2 linked regions of the Caenorhabditis elegans genome follow. The protein of the gene in region 1 purifies or fractionates together with the protein of each later gene. This does not show direct contact. Each region holds a gene or a part of one and is shown in the gene's direction. Other genes may lie near its edges.

The links.
Region 2: the proteins of rips-1 (region 1) and alr-1 fractionate together in Caenorhabditis elegans (co-fractionation; one large-scale study listed by BioGRID). This does not show direct contact.

What each region holds. Positions count from the first base shown.
Region 1 is NC_003283.11:3,770,121-3,775,111, forward strand, and holds rips-1 (Methyltransferase domain-containing protein), read left to right. Parts: upstream 1-1,900; 5' UTR 1,901-2,068; coding exon 2,069-2,116; intron 2,117-2,180; coding exon 2,181-2,323; intron 2,324-2,371; coding exon 2,372-2,465; intron 2,466-3,454; coding exon 3,455-3,961; intron 3,962-4,008; coding exon 4,009-4,314; 3' UTR 4,315-4,476; downstream 4,477-4,991. Other genes in the region: R08E5.1 (Methyltransferase domain-containing protein), read right to left, coding at 305-811, 864-981, 1,023-1,165, 1,320-1,355; cysl-3 (Cysteine synthase 3), read right to left, coding at 4,477-4,579, 4,626-4,860.
Region 2 is NC_003284.9:11,121,312-11,127,304, reverse strand, and holds alr-1 (Homeobox ARX homolog alr-1), read left to right. Parts: upstream 1-1,684; 5' UTR 1,685-1,746; coding exon 1,747-1,875; intron 1,876-1,919; coding exon 1,920-2,043; intron 2,044-2,096; coding exon 2,097-2,283; intron 2,284-2,361; exon of another isoform or gene 2,362-2,654; intron 2,655-3,087; exon of another isoform or gene 3,088-3,234; intron 3,235-3,287; coding exon 3,288-3,333; intron 3,334-4,028; coding exon 4,029-4,206; intron 4,207-4,283; coding exon 4,284-4,708; 3' UTR 4,709-5,434; downstream 5,435-5,993. UniProt on the Caenorhabditis elegans protein: Transcription factor. Involved in activating or repressing transcription of genes in neurons. Regulates expression of nuclear hormone receptor odr-7 and LIM homeodomain protein lin-11 in AWA and ASG chemosensory neurons.

The sequences.
Region 1 (4,991 bases):
ATGCGGGAGTTGTGACGCAATTCTTCACCGCCTTACCCCTTTTTTGTGCACTTGAAGCAGACTACTCAACTGATTTTGTATGGTTAAGAACGTGCTGACGTCACATATCTTTGGGCAAAAAATTCCCGCATTTTTTGTAGATCAACCGTGATGAGACAGTCTGGCACCACGTGAACAATCCGTTAAGAATAATCTTGCGCGTCAAATCTAACGTATTGTGTGCTTGAGATACACACCTGGAAAAAAGTTCAAACACGGTCTCAATGAACGATATATCCTACGCGCAAAAATATTTTTCACTTACTAGGTCAGGCCTGCATTGATCGTGGCACGCATCAAAAATAAGGACCAAATCGAAGGAATCCGTCCAAATTTCTGGCATTTTTCCAGCGTCGCATTGTATAAATTCGAGATTGTTGAAAGCCGCTCCTGATTTAGTTTTTCGTTGTTTCGCCTGCCGAATGGCATCTTCTCCAATTTCTAGCCCGACAAAATGTGCTTTTGGGTATTGCTCGGCGAGCAACGAAGAATGGGATCCACCACCACACCCGACGTCCAGAACCCGCATTCCACCGGTTTCAAGCTTCTCGACAACTCCGTGACCGATGTCCGGAAGCATATCAGTTATCACATGCTTCTCGTGAAGTGCCTGACTCATTTTTCCCATAAAATATTGAAATTTTGAGATCTCCGAATAATCGAGACCGTACGGCCCATCCTTTTTGAAGCATTCAATGAGTTTTTCAAATGGTTCCAGAAGAGTTGGCGTGGAGCCAATCATCACTAGTGCAAGACTATTGGTTAGCAGGTCCTGAAGAAAATTTATATAAATTTGTAAGATAATGTGGGTACAATTTAAAAACCTTCACATTCTCCACGTGAATCCAAAACTGTTCCTTCTCATTAACCTCAATGATTCCTCCACAAGCCATGCAGTTACACCATTCTCGAATATACATTTGGAAAAATATTATGTCGGAACTATAGGCGGCAGGTAGGCAGGCATAGAAAAATGTACAAACCTCTCTTTGCAACCGGCAGCGTTGGCAAGATGCTCCGGGAGCACTGGGCTTGCTTCACTTGAAATTTCAGACAAAATTTTGAACAAGTCTAGGCGTAGGCCAACGTTAATAGCATTCGAGACCACATTGCTTACTGCTAGGTTCTGAAATATAGTAGTGCTTTCATGCGCTATGCCTTCATGCATAGAAGGCAGCCTACGCCTGCCTGGTGCCTACTGCCAAACATACGAAAACCCCTTAATTTCACCACAAACTACAAGCAGGTTAGGCGCGGTAATTAGAGGCAAATCAACTCACGAATAGTTTTTCTTTCATTTTAGACGAAGAAGACATTTTTTGAAAAATTCGTAACCAGAAAAGTTTATTTTTGAAACTGCAATGTCTTTTCGTGATCTATAATTTTTTCTGCGATTCCCTCACATTGTCGGGGTCTCCGCAACTAATCAATCTCTAGCAAATGACCACCGTACGTGACTCTAGTCAATTGCGACAGCAGATCGTGCGGTCAAATGATCAAAAATTGGAAAAGGTCAGAATTTTGAGTGATGTCACAAAAAACATATTTTCGGCAAAGTTTGAAGGTTAAAAATTGTTTGTTGATTGAATTTTTTGCAAATTTTTTAACATTTAAATATATGTACATACTTTTAAATCGTAAAACTTGGCACATCCTACCTTCCACCTTCCACCTTCATCTACCTTCAGATCGTGCCGAGACCCACTCGAAAAGCATCATGTGCCTTTAAACAGATACGTTACATTTTTGCGGAATTACAATACTAGAACATAAAGATGTTCTGTTATAATAAAAGCTACAATAATTTGCATCATAGATCACTTTCTCAACCTACAAATGACAATAATCACGTACATCCTCCAGCCTGCTATAACTGTCTTTTTCTGGCGATAAAGAGCATTCGAAAAGGGTGTTGTATAACAGATCTCATCTTTTTTACACTTTGCGTCTCTTCACACTACACAACACGTGGACAACGGTATATAAATAGTCTCGATTTTCCAATTTTGTGTATGTTCAATTGATCACTATGTCGCAACAACAAACCTGTTCTACCTCAATGAAGGAGAAATTATTTGTGAGTTCTATTAATTTTTGAATTAACGATTAGAAATTTGTATATAGGTGTGCATATTTTGCAGAACCTCGCCGTCAGCAATGTAATCTCGAATGCCATTAACATTGGGAATCGCCTAAACTTGTTCAAAACTTTGGCTGATATTTCCAGCGAAAAGGGGCCAGTGCTCCCGGAGCAACTTGCCGAAGCGGCAGGCTGCAAAGAGAGGTTTTTGAGATTTTTTAAAGAGTTTCTCGAAAAATTGAAATTCTCTAGGTACATTCGAGAATGGTGTAATTGCATGGCCTGTGGGCAGATTATTGAAGTGAACGAGGAGGAGAAGTTTTGGATCGCCGCCGAAAATGTTCAGGTAATTATTTGCGTTTTTAAAATTTTTTAAAAATTTTTTCGGAAGGGTTTTTGAGCCTAAAATAAGGTTCATTGGTGTTTGCACAATAACTACAAACTCACGTGGTGTCAGATTGTTCCATTACGCTTTGATCTACAAAAAATGCGGGAATTTTTTGCCCAAAAAAGTATGAGGTCAGCACGTTCTTAACCATGTAAAATCAGTTGAGAACTCTGAGTGTCCTTTTCCGCATTTTTTGTTGATCTACGTAGATCAAGCCGAAATGAAACACTCTAACACCACGTGCAAACTATTATGTAATAACAGCGGGGCAAGTGAAACTTTTTTGAAACTACAGTAATCCTAATCAGGGGTAGGCCGCGAACGATTTTTCCGGAATTGCCGGAATTGAAATTTCCGGCAAACGGCAAACCGGCAAAATTCCGATTCGCCGATTTTGCCTGAAAAACGCCAATTGCCGGAAATTTTTGGCAAATTGTGGTCTTGCACATTTTTTTCTGGAAATTTTAGAATTACAATTTTAATCGGCAAAATTGTACGTATCCTACTAATTTTCCTAGATCTATTTGGAAAAGTAGGCAAATTATATGAAAATATCGAAAGAAAACGGGAAATTTGTTCGCCAAATCGGCAAACCGGCAAATTGCCGGAAATGAAAATGTTCGACAATTCGGCAAGTTATCAGAACTGAAAATATTCGGAAAATTGGCAAACCGGCAATTTGCCGAACTTATCGATAAAAAAAATTGCCGAACGGCAGTTGCCACCTACCCCTCATCCTAATGTATTCCTATAGTATCCCTACAGTAACCCTACAGTAACCCTCACCAAATGTATTTCCAAATGACAGCAACATATGTTTTCTGAAACTACAGTAATCGTGAGGTACTCATACAGTATTCCTACAGTAGCCACAATCCAACATCCCATCAAAAGCCCATTTTTTCCAAAACTATAGTAATCCTACAGTAACCATTGTATCATTCCAGGAGCTCTCCAATTCAAGCTTCGAAGCCGTGATGAACGGAATGATGGCCACCTTGTTGGAGCCTCTCGACGAGCTCATCGACTGCTTCAGGAAAGACGGGCCACTTGGCCTGGAGTACGCGCAATTCACAAAATTCCAATATTTCATGGGAACTATGAGCCAGGCACTTCATGAGAAGCATGTGGTAGCAGATATGCTTCCGGACATCGGCAACGGAGTCGTCGAGAAGCTTGAAGCCGGCGGAGTACGAGTCCTGGACGTCGGGTGCGGCGGTGGATTCCATTCTTCGCTGCTCGCCGAGCAATACCCAAAGTCGCATTTTGTCGGGCTAGACATTGGAGAAGATGCCATCCGGCAGGCGAAACAACGCAAGACTAAATCAGGAGCGGCTTTCAACAATCTCGAATTTATTGAATGTGACGCCGGAAAAATGCCAGAAATCTGGACGGACTCCTTCGATTTGGTGCTTATTTTTGATGCATGCCACGATCAGCGGAGACCAGATTTGGTACTGAAAATCTTAAATTTTCTAAAAAGATATTTTATAATTTTCAGTGCGTCCAAGAAATCCACCGAGTTCTCAAGCCAAGCGGGATGTTCGCTATGGTAGAGGTGCTCGGCTCCAGTAACGTATACACCGATAAAGCCGCCATGGGCCCATTGGCTGCAATGATGTACGGGTGCTCCATGTTCCATTGTCTCCCTGTCGGAAGTAACTGCCCAGATGCTCTGTGTTATGGTGCAATGTGGGGGCAGAAACGTGCTACCGACCTGCTTAAAAAATGCGGATTCCCTGATGTGAAGGTTATTGATACCCCATATTTCCCTATTAATGTGATGTATTGTGCCCAGAAAAATTAGGGTACTATTGAAGCCTTTTAATATTTTAAGTCCGCACAAGACCTACTAAATTAATTTTGTTTAATTTTTGTTTGAAATAATTAAACTCTTTCATGGCTGGCTGGGGAATACAATTTATTTTAAATTTCCAAAAATTCTCAATCTTATGTCAGTTAAATACATTTAGAGACCCAAATATTTCTTCGCAATTCCCATCGCCTCATCGTCACTTGAAAAAGTCAATTGTGAAACTTCATTGAGCACATCCGAGTACAGCTCCGTGGTGCTGAAAATTTAAGTTTCGATTAAAAAAAACTACACTATAAACTCACAAGTATCTCTCTGCAAAGCTGTTCACAGTGGTCACAATCAATTTTCCCTTGTTCTCGGGGCGACTAGCCAGCTCCACGGCAGCGACGACGTTGGCTCCGGACGAGATTCCACCGAGAATTGCCTCCTCGTCGGCGAGTCGCCGCGCCATTTGCATCGCATCGTCAGACTTGATGCGCAAAATTTCCGTGAACAACGAGCGATCGACGTTTCCTGGCACAATGCCGGCACCGATTCCTAGAAGTTTATAATGATAAGAAATGAGTGATAACGAAATGTTAGCACTTTCAGACTCCCTCATATTATGAACTGGCAGAGTTTCAGCGAGATGGTTCTGAACCTCGACCGCAGCCGTGACTTTTAATCAT
Region 2 (5,993 bases), on another chromosome or scaffold:
GGATGGAGGAGGAAAAAGGCAAGACGAGGCACATCGAAAACAGAAAATTCAGATATTCCAACACAATAATTATATCATTACACATCTCGTAATATATGCACCGCCCGCCTCAAGATACCTCATCCATTAATGAACCTATTTAGAAATCCTATTAAGCTTTCCCTGCTTGCTTACCTCCTGGGTGTCCACTGTGACAGATTTCTCAATTCATGTTTTAATTTCTCTTTGTACTGAATTATAATTTTAATGTTTCAAGTTTTAATAATAACTTTGGTCTGCTTTTCGAAATGATAATTAATGTTTACTTTTAGTTTTTCAAAAATTCCAACTTGCTTTTTCTAGACTTTTCAAGAGAAATTTATTTTTTTGTAAAACGGTATATTTGCCGTTTGCACATCACACCTTTTGCCGGGAGCAGTACGGAGCCCACATTCTCATAATTTCATTAGTTAATGAAAATGTGGCAAATGGTAATTTGATCCTAACAGGAAAAGCGACCCCTTGGAGTGAGAGAGAGAGAGAAATTGAAAGACAAAGGTGAAAGGGCAGGAAAACAAGGAAAAATAATGTGTACCCCCTCCCCTTTTAAGCCCGCTTGCCCCCCCCCCCCCCCCCCGTCATTTTCGGTGGTTGGCAAAAGTCGCCATCTTTTAACACATTAACTAATTGAATATGTTGATCGCCATTCGGTTCTCGGTAGATTTTCTTATTTTCCAGGCAAAGGGAAAATCGAATTAGTCTAATTCATTGTCATAGCATGGTTTCCGTTTTGTGATCTTTTCACTGACAAGATTTGATAAGAAGTTCACTTTTTTTCTGTATTGGCGGTAAACATGAAAGTTGAGTAGATCTTATCAAATTAGACAATCAAAACCTCTAAATTCCATTAATATCAATCTGAACTGTTTTTCTTTTTTATTTATTCCAACTGTCGTAGAGATGTGTTTTCGAAATCCGCTTATCTGATTTGATTTCGACTTTTTAGTATCCCATCATCGTGATCTGTAAAATCTAGGAATATCTAATTTTAGACAGTGATTTTTTGGCATATATATAAAATCCTACTCATCATTTGTTTAAGGATTGAGGACATAAAAAGAGACAGAGGATATTGGGATAAACTAGCACTTAAGATTCAAAAATTTTGGAATTTGTGCGTTGTGCGTAAATGAAGAATTAGAATGCCTCACCATTCAAAATAACACTCACATTTTGTTAATTCGGCAAGCCATGTTGCCAAATCCTTTCGCCCACAATCAAATTATCTTCTTAAAATTCTATATTTGTCAGGTAGATCATCTCGAAATAAACCAGATAAACGCATCACTTTTTGGCTCTTCCCTTTTTTCCTAACATCATGTATTTTTACAAGGAAATATCAAAATACCGGGCTCAATCATCAGGCGATTTTGGGCGTGGACTTTTATTTGAACTAAGCTTTCTGTCTACTTTGATGAGTTCCAAGCTTCTTCTTGTAAAATTGAATTCATTTACTCATCATAGTAAAAATATTAATTTTTCTGAATGCAAATAAGTCCATGATTCAATTAGCTGACTTTACTTCTACACATCATATTATTCTCTAGCATTATCTTCATGTTGATTTGTCTTTTTTATTCGTTTCGTTTTATTCGTTTGATCATTTCTCATTGTTATTTTCAACATAAAGCTATACATTTTTTCCAGCTGTTTTCGCTTCCTTCTTTCAACTTTGGTAAATCGTTTCAACTTGGATTCACATTGTGTATGCCCGAGTTGAAGAAAGAAGACTCTTCCAAAGACGAGAAAGATCTAGACATGAACTGCCCGCCACTTCACAGGCCCAATGGAGCTGATTTGAATCAGTATTCAAAAAGTCTTATGGAACAGTTACAGGTAGCGTTGTTAAATATTTTTAAATTTTAACACGTCGTTTTTAGGCACAATTGTTTGCAAATCCAGCGTTACAGTTCCCATCATTTCCACCAGCTTTTTCTATTGCGGCGCTGACTAATAATCAGCATGAGCTGAAAGAAGACGATGGAAAGAAAACGCCCACTGGAGGTAAGATATTATTTTTTAATTTAATTTAATAAAATATATTCGTAAGTTTTCAGATAATATTTTAGAAGCTGCCTCAGTACTTGACAATAGAGAAAACGGATCCCCTTCAGATGGCACAAACAGTCCGGATGATAATGGAAAGAGGAAACAAAGAAGATACCGTACAACATTCAGTGCATTTCAGTTGGACGAGCTTGAGAAGGTGTTTGCCAGGACTCACTATCCAGATGTGTTCACTCGGTAAGAATGAGTTACTAATTAAATATGAAAATTTCACTTTCCTTCCCTTCTCCCTGAATTTGGAAACAGTTGTGTTGCGTTCTTACACCATATGGCACTAATTATCAATTTCAAACATTATAATGATCGAGGTCAAGTTCAGCATATTTCACCTTTTTTACCTTCTACATTTAACATTTCTTTTACAAATCCAATTTGAAATGAAAATGAAAAATGAAGTGGTGAAGAGGTGGGGAGGACAGGAAAAAGGCGAAACTCATAATGAAGCAATCATGCAAAATGCACAATATCAAGTGTCGCGTTGCGTGTGTTTGCGCACAGACGCTTTAATTGAAGAAGCACAAACTCATTTGCTCAATATTAGAGAGGGCCATTTAGTTTTACGAGGGTCGCATAATTTCTAGAACCAAGGGACTAGATTTTTATAAAATTAGATTAATTAAACAAACAATGTAGCGAGTAGAAATGTAATCTGTTGTTTTGGTAAAAGTTGGAAAGTATTATTTTGCTATTCAACTTTGAGCAGGCAACCAAATGCTTAATTTATTAATTTTTCAAACTCTGAAGGTTGCAAAGTATATACTGTTGGAGCTAGATCTTTGGAAAAAATCTGATTTTCATAGAAAAATTAGCGAATCCTAGACATTCTCACCTGTGATGATCTTATCGTGATCCTATCTTACTAACAAGAATTAACAGGAATTAAGACGTGGGTAGGTGTCTTGTGTAGGAAGAGCGTGACCACCTGTTCCGTTCATCAATTAGATATTGCACGGATTAATTACTGACTTTTGCCTCTTAAGCCATGCGTTTACCCAAAAACAATGCGTGATCAATTGACGCAGTGCCGAAAGAAGTACCAAGGTCCGGTCTCAATTCAGATCTAATTGAGCAATGACAATTGCTCCGGCGTGGTGCTACCATTCAAGAACCCCTCTTACTAGATTCCCCCTTCCTTTTAAAACCGCTTTCAAGTGCTTAATTACACCGAAAATCTTTTGCAGGGAAGAATTGGCAACACGAGTCCAGCTCACAGAGGCCCGAGTTCAAGTAAGTTACAGTAGGATTTCATCTCGAGATCTCTTCGCCCAAATTCATTTGATAATGCATAACGAATTATAAATGCGCCAATAGTGGGGCACATTGAAAAGGCAGTATTGGTCCCATCATGTGGTGGTGTTGGAATGACGCGACGAGATTGTGTAGATTGAATATATCACGAATGAGTACTTATACCCAGCGAATGAAAAAATTAGTTAAGCACGCGATGTTATCTAAATTGCTTCACGCGATTGCTTGCTAATCTCTTTTTTCTAATAGATCATCGTCACCTTGCTTTTAAATAAGGTAACGAGGGGGGACCAACACATTGGCGTTAATAGCTCATCTGCTCGGTTCATATTACAGTTATAATAAAATTAATGTCGATCTAATGCGATAAGTGGTATCTATTGTTAGGTAAGATACATGTTAGATTAAATCTAACCAATATAAAAATTGTTTTGTGACTTTTGAAACATTATTTAATCAATCAATAAAAAAATTATCATTGGGACTTGTATATCACAGTTAAACAGTAAGACGACCATTCGCATGTAAGAAAGTTAAACAAAGCAAATTCCGATGCATCATCTTTTAGAATATTTGTTTCAAGAATTAAGTAGTAAGAAAAACAAGCTTACAATTTAAATATTCTTGCGTAGTGAATCGTTTCCCAGCGTCATCTTCATCGTTATGTTTTTCAGGTTTGGTTTCAAAACAGACGAGCCAAGTATCGCAAACAAGAACGCAGCAGTACTCATCACCCTTATCAAGCTCCAATGAGTATTCCAAATTCAAATGGAGATAATCCGTACCAGATGATGCTCAGCCAAGAAGCTATTTTTGCAGCTATCAATCAGCAAGCCGCGGCTCATCTTTTAAGTAAGTTTTTTACTGTTATATACCAAATTGATAGTTCTTCATGCCTAGCGCAAGTTACTGCAACTATAAAATTTCAGATGAACAAGTACGGATTGCAACATCTGATCGTCGGTCTCAGTCCCCGTCTGTACCAGTGACCACATCTTCTCCAATCTTGCCAACTTCTGTGACACCTACGTTCCAAAACGCAGATGCATTAAATATGTTGTTCGGTGGAATTACTCCTGTTACGCAGCAGTTGCTTTATGTTCAACAATTCAGCAGAGCTATGGATGCTTTCCGCACTCAGCTTCTGGGATCAGTCCCAGCAGGAGCTACGGCTGAAGTCACCGATGTTGTAGCATTAAAAACTGAAGACTCGAAATCGAATAGTAGAGCGGGAAGCTCATCACCCACTCCAACTGAAAGTTCCGGAGCTGCTGCAACATCCACGAGTCCTACGAATTTTGCTGACATGAATAGTCTGATATCCGATGTGAAGCCAAAAGAAGAAAGTTCATGAGTAAACACAATTAAAAAAATTTCACTACAAAAATTAGAAATTCTCCTCTTTATTTGCATTTAATAGATTGCCTGGTCCAAAAAGTTATTCAACAAAATTTGCAATACACCTAACGTTTCATATGTGTGATTCCCGTCCTATATATTTTGAATATTCAAGATTTTGAAATGTTTTCCAAGTTTCCTTTCACAGTCCAAACACCCATATTCTCCTGACCGCCAATGTTCTCGATTACCTCGAAATGTAGGCATTAAAATGGTTTTCGGCTTTACTATACTCCAGCTTTTATTAGTTTGTGTCGTTGTTATACCGAAGTTAGCCGGTGAGCTCTTCGCCTTATTCAAATCCTCAACCTCCCCTTTTCAATGACAATTAGAATTCCTTGACTCAAATTGAAATCGGATCTCCATTTTCTCCACTCATCGTGACGTTTTGTTTTAAACTTACCTTTGTATTTTGTTTTCAACATTTCCTAATAATCCTTTGTCAAATCTATGTAGTTTGGGAAGCACTGTTCATAGATTATTTAATCAACGCTCGTGTTATACACTGAACAACAACCTCTTTTTTCTAAACTCGCCTCTTTAATTGTTAACTGAATCCAAAACACCAAAGGCCTCCCCTCTCCAAAATCTGTACTTTTGATTTGCATATAATATATATATATATTCACTGCACTTTTTCTTTCAAGATTTTTATTGGATTTTAATAAATTTAGTAAAATAACCTCTGGTACACTATAAAAATGAATCCTTCGAAGATCACAGTATAGTATTATTATTTTAAATAAATCGTAAAATGCAATTATGATAGATAGATAATACAAAATTAAACTTTTTTTCGGTAATTGTGTGATAACTGTACCCAAAATAGTATTCAATATTTTCCAGAAATAAAACGTAAATCCTTTCTGTATTGTAGGCTTAGAAAAAAATCGTTCATAAGCGTGAAATAAAAATACCAATAAAACACGTATGTTGACTATTATGGAAATTCCTCCATTTCGAACATTTTGGAGTACAACAACTACACAAGTATCGTTTTTCTTTTCTAGAGGCGTTTTCTTTTCCAGAGACTCATTCTGCTCACGATTGATAATTTCATCACGAAACGTCTTGAATGATACTCGAAAGTATTATTTGACTATTCAAAATTTGAAAAAGCATCTAAATTTATTTTTATATTTTTAATGTTATGGCTTGCCCGTTTTTTGTCAGCTATATTGGGACGATTAAAACAATCAACCTAAAAAAGTTTTCCTTCATTCAAATTTCGAAAATTAGCA